Linked DNA regions of Macaca fascicularis. The main gene of each other region encodes a partner of the protein of the gene in region 2 in a complex. Links are inferred from orthologs where the notes say so. Each region holds a gene or a part of one and is shown on either strand. Other genes may lie near its edges.

Region 1 (2,519 bases), on a different chromosome or scaffold from region 2:
CCACACTCATACACAAAGTTGCTTTTCATCTACACTGGTAGACGAGGTGTCAAAGCTGCAGGCTAAAGGGGGCTTCCCTTTGGTGCTGAGCCCTGAGCTAGCTCTCCAGTGCCTGTTTTTTTGTTACTTAACATCTGGTGGAGAGGGTGGATGGGACTCTAATTACTGTTCACTTGTAGCATCTAGGAGACTAGTAGTTAAATGTCTTCCTATAGGATTCCTCTTCCATGTATAATCAAGCAACTGATGCCCTCCACTAGACCTCAGTATTTCATTGACCCTAAAGGACAGAGTACAGTTGTTTGAAATGTTATTCCTCCTTTTGGTGGGGTTAGTCATATTCTAAACCTTTACAAAATTGTAGTAAAAGTAGACATTGTTACTCTCTGCTATGAAAATATCTACTTCTAACATATTTCTCTCAAGAAAATGAAGGGAAATGTAGAAAAATTTTTAAAATTTACCTCTTGTTGTAGATATGTAAGGAAGGATGCTAAAATAAAATTTTGGCAAGCCAAATCCACAACACAGAAGAACAGCAGATCAAAAATAAGAAGGGTAGCTTCATTTCCATAATACAGGACACTGCTGAAAGAATAACCTTCATCTATTAAAAAAGTTTAGAAAATATAAATTAGAAATTTAAAAAAGGAACAAGTCTGTGATAAATTTCTGGTGACAAAATCTGGATATTTAAAAATAGCACATTAGAAACATACTATATACAATAATTCATGGCTTACACAAAAATAAACAAAATAATTAAATTAAAAATAAACAAAAATTTTAAGATTTGCTCATCTAAAAGAGGTTAGTTAAAAAACTCATAACACCTCCTATAAAGCAGTTTTAACATTAGGACCAATGGTTGGTAACTGCTAGTAGTGTAAGTTTCAAAGACCAGTTAATAAATAGCCTTTCTCTATTTCTTTATGTAACTAAAAGCTAAATTAATCTTACAAACATTCCCTAAGATAGAGTATATTAGAGAAAAAACCCAGCAAGGCACAGAATAGTACACAGTGTTCAAGAGTTCAATAATTTATTTCAAATAGTCCCCTTAAGGTTTTGCTCTAAGTTCTCTTCTCACTCCACCAGCGGGTTTCATCCTTATTGGGATGTGAACACCCTTTTAAAAAGATTATGATGAGGCCGGGCACAGTGTCTCATGCCTGTAATTCCAGCACTCTGGGAGGCTGAGGCAGGAGGACTGCTTGAGGCCAGGAGTTCAAGACCAGCCTAGGCAACATAGTGAGACTCCATCTCTACCAAAAAAAAAGAAAAAGGATCTGGTGGTGCACACCTGTAGTCTTAGCTATTTGGGAGACTGAGATGGGAGGAGTGCATGAACCCAGGAGTCTGAGGTTATAGCGAGCTATTAATATGATTGCACCACTGCACTCTAGCCTGGGCAACAGAGCAAAAACCTGTCTCTAAACAAACAAACAAACAAACAAAAAACTACAAAAGCCTGATGAAAGCTAAAGACCCTTCCACCAGGAAAAAAAAAAACAAAAAAAAACCATACATATACAAGTCTTGCCAACAATTTCAGGGAAATCCAGAAAACCACTGAAGCAGCCCGGGGATACCCAGTTAGGAACATCTGCTTTATACAAGGGGGCATCTGGAGTGCTGGTAATGTTCTCTCTTGAAAGGGTACTAGTTACAGGGGTATATTCAGTTTGTGAAAATTCACTGACCTATAAGTTATATCCTTACAAAATATGCACATTATACTTGCATATATAATCTTAAAAATAAACCTGTTTTACATACTGTCTCTTGGTGATTTTCTACTAACACTGCTCCAGCAATGACTTCATATGATAGCAACTCCTCAATTTATTGTGTGCTTCTACTTTCTCCTACGACCTGGTCCCTTATATTTAATGCCTACTGGATACCTCTTCCTAGATGTCCTAAAGTACCTCAAGATGCAACATACTGAAAACTAAATTCATCCTCTTTCCCTCAAAACCTGGTCCTCCTTCTGTATTGCCTCTGTTATTGAAAGGCACCACCACCCACTTAGTCACACAGCCAGAAGTCTGGATAATTTTTGACTAGTCTTTTCCCTTAACATTTCTGGCAATCCTTTCTTCTCTAGCCCCACTGCTACTGCCTTAGCTCATAGTCTCATCAGCTCTTGATGAAGACGAAGATAGTGAGGCCAGGAGCGGTGGCTCACACCTGCAATCCCACTTTGGGAGGCTGAGGTGGGCAGGTCACTTGAGGTCAGGAGTTCGAGGCCAGCCTGGCCAATATGGTGAAACTCCATCTTTACCAAAAACACAAAAATTAGCCAGGTGTGGTGGCAGGCACCTGTAATTCCAGCTACTCGAGTAGCTGAGGCAGGAGAATTGCTTGAACCTGGGAGGCGGAGGTTGCAGTGAGCCAAGATTGCGCCACTGCACTCCAGCCTGGACAACAGAGCGAAACTCCATCTCCAAAAAAAAAAAAAAAAAGAAGAAGATAGAGAGATGGAAGAATACAGTTAGAAAGAGGAGGAAGAGGAA
Region 2 (3,659 bases):
GTCAAATATAAGATGCTATTACATGAATTTTTTAGGATACGTACTGAAAACTCGAAGATGGTAATGAACATAGTTTTCAACAGCTATTTTCACAAAATGATACTAAAATACACATTACCTTCAAATGCTGCTTTTCTAGATCTGACATGTTGAGCTGTGTCTCTAGATCTTTTACTTTTTCCTTTAGTTGATCAGCATCTGTCAAAAAAGTTATACAAGTTAAACTCAGCTTTTTCCCACTACGAATGAGTTCAAAGTAATGACTTTGTTCTAGAGAACAGAGATTTGTTTTACGAAACCTAGAACTAGGAAAATACTGGATTTTATGGCTGAAATACTTAAGGATGTAAACACTTGATGCTACCTCCCTCCATTAAGTATTGTAATTTCATAGCAGGCAAAAAGAGGTTATTTGCTAGGTATTAGAAATATAGGCCAAGTTGTTTTTTTTTTTTTTTTTTTTTTTTCACATGATAGAAATTTTACACGGAAAAAATCTTAAAGCCAGGAAAACTTGTTAGGTACTAAAACTACAACAGAAGAAAAGCAGACTGTTGGGTAAGGGGCTATAACCATAAGCTGGCCAAATGCTCCCGCTATCCAACACAGCATTGGCTATTCCACGTGGGTTATTACATGTTTACTGCGCAATTACTACGTGCAAAATGTGTCATGCAAGCTGTGTAATACAAAAATAAGACATAGATAGCCCTGATACTTTGGTAGGAAAACAAAAGTCTACAAATACAGCACAAAAGTTATTTATTGGATTTACCCTGCAAGTTAACATACCTCTAACTTTATCAGCAGGCAAATACGATTTTTGCTTTAATGCTATCTTTGCTAGATACCTCTTTTCTTTACATTACACTACATTTAATGAGTCAAGTCATATTTTACAGCCATTGAAGAATAAAATTCTAAAAGTTTGATAAGGTGCAGCAAACATTTTCATGGCTGGGACAAGTATCCTTTTTTCTTTTTGAGACAGTCTCACTCTGTCGCCCAGGCTAGAGTGTAATGGCGCAATCTTGGCTCACTGCAACAATCACTGCCTCCCAGGCTAAAGCGATTCTCCTGCGTTAGCCTCCTTTGTAGCTGGGATTACAGGCAAGCACCACCACGCCTGGCTAATTTTTATATTTTTAGTAGAGACAGGTTTCACCATGTTGGCCAGAGTGGTCTCGAACTCCTGATCTCAGGTGATCCGCCCGCTTCAGCCTCCCAAAGTGCTGGGATTACAGGTGTGTGCTACTGTGCTGGGCCTGGGACAAGTATCTTAAAAGTTATCTTACCACTTATATAGAAAGTGATTTAGAGTTTCCAAAACAGTTCTGGTTTGATTTTAAGCCTTAATCTTAGAAAAATGACAGGTAATCTGTCTACTTCACATCAGAGATAAGGAATTTTGAAGGCTCAGAAATTTCCTTAAGAAACAGGTTTAGAAAGATTAGAGAACTATGGCCATATGACCCTTAATGCACACGCACCTGATCTCTGATCTCAGAAGCTAAGCACTATTGGCCCTGGTTAGTATATGGATGGAAGGAAAATTATAAAATTGTCTAGTACAAACCAAGCAGGCTGCTATAAGGCATATTTTGAGAGTATTTAGTAGGTACTTTTAGTTACCAAGACGTAGCACAGTATAGTGGTTAAGGGCTAGGAATGCCAAGGAGCTGTGGAGTTTCATAGATTTAGATTTTAATCCTGCTATTTCCTAGCTGACCTTGGGGAATGGTTACTTAACCACTTTGAATCTGTTTATCACATAAAATGGAGACAGTAATACCTATCATATATGGGTGTAAATATAGAATGCTTGTAAGGCAGTTAGCATAGTGTCAAGTACAACTCACACATGATGGCTTTTATTACAAATTAGTAATAGGACTACATACCATATTGAAAAAGCTACAAGAAATAGTCAAAGATAGTTCAGATATAAATTGGTATAATCCTTTGCAGAGGATGGCATTTCTATCATACTATCAAACAATGGCATAATAAGGTCAAGAGATTAATCATATTTTATAAAAGCAGAAACTTGGAAGCAAACTATCCACCAAAACATAAATGGTTCAATATGCTTATACATGCAATAATACACTATAGAATTATTAAATGGATGAGACAGATTTATGAACAGACCTCACAAGATGTCCAGGATAAACTGTTAAAGGCAAATACGCTAGACATGTGTATAGTATGAGTTCAATTTTATGTCACTTGCCAAGAAAATATATATATGTATATGCAAACAAAGTCTATTCTCTATCCACAGTAGTTTTAGTCTATAAAGTTAGCCCAATTAGTGAATATCAAACCACTGCTGCTAGGGGAAATATGTACAGACATACATATACATACATACACCTACATATCTCACACATGATAATCTTAAATCCTAAAGATAACTCATCCTGGTAAATTCTATTTATTTACATAAGAAAAGGTTCAGAAGCGTTCGTGACTCTCCTAAGCCTAAAGCACTAACAAGCCTCAGAATTGGGATTCAAATCCCTTCCAACAGGCCCCAGAGCCACAGCTTCTTGCACTATGCTGTGCTGCCCTCTACCGTCTCCATCCTTTGATCATTTCTCTATGAAAACTGAAATGACGATACTGAGCACCGCCTTGTTGAACCTCTGCTGGGGACATGTAGGTTGGATTATTCAAACTTTCCAAGGCTCTGTGGATGTCTGCAAATGTGCTGCGAGTGTTGATTTGGGGATTACATACACGCCTTAGTGAGCAGGTGATTTAGAAAATACAGAATCCACAAATAATGAGGATCTATTATACATATGAACACATAAACACATGTATGCATATGTGTGATATATATGTACATAAAATATGTGTGTATGTATATGTAGGAATGAGGAATGATTAGTAATCACTTTTGAATGGGAATGGAAGGCAGCAGAAACATACTTTCTTTTTACTTTGTAAAAGGAAAAAAATGTAGGCAGTATTTACTTATTTGCAGTTTTTAAAAATGTTCAGAGGACTTGAAAGAGCCTATACTTAGAAACTGGAAGCAACAGATTTAGTATTCATTGCTTAGCCCTGCATTGTGATTAAATCTGTAACACCCAGATGGAGAACAAAGAGAAAAACACTTGGGTACTTGCTACTCTATAGTATAAACAACACAAAGAGAAAAATGGGAATATTTTTATATTAATAGCATGGAGGAGAGACAAGAGATCCAAAACTTATCAGGAATTTGATTTTACACTGAGACAATGATCAGAAATCTGAGCCAAAAGAACAAAAAAAAAGGTAAACCCAAATTCAAAAACCTGGGGGTAGCTAACATGTTTTTTAAAATATATTACCAGGTATGGTGCTTTCAGCTCCACTTTGGTCCTTGTTAGCTTCTATCTGATGGATTAATTCTGCTTTCTCTTTATCCAGCTGACTATTAGCTAATCTAGAACACAATGATAATTTGTTAAAAAAAAAAGAAGGCAGGTATTGCTTCATAAAATATATGGGCATTTCTTATGAACTAGTGATGCACAGTAATCAGAACAAACTAGTCTTTATCAAAGTAAACATTTACTCTCAATGCTACAATGTCACCATTCTCAAAAAGCCTGGAATACAAAAGCCTTCACATTTTTCTTAATATCTGACCTGAGGTCATTTCC

The links. Proteins that work in one complex are often made in the same cells at the same time.
Region 1: CEP290 (region 2) and TMEM67 share a complex: the UniProt entries of both Homo sapiens proteins name them as parts of the tectonic-like complex. The link is inferred for Macaca fascicularis from reciprocal best matches to the Homo sapiens genes CEP290 and TMEM67.

The regions. Positions count from the first base shown.
Region 1 is NC_088382.1:103,464,452-103,466,970, reverse strand, and holds part of TMEM67 (meckelin), read right to left. Parts: intron 608-2,519; coding exon 465-607; intron 1-464. UniProt on the Homo sapiens protein: Required for ciliary structure and function. Part of the tectonic-like complex which is required for tissue-specific ciliogenesis and may regulate ciliary membrane composition.
Region 2 is NC_088385.1:94,984,902-94,988,560, forward strand, and holds part of CEP290 (centrosomal protein of 290 kDa), read right to left. Parts: intron 3,440-3,659; coding exon 3,345-3,439; intron 199-3,344; coding exon 119-198; intron 1-118. UniProt on the Homo sapiens protein: Involved in early and late steps in cilia formation. Its association with CCP110 is required for inhibition of primary cilia formation by CCP110.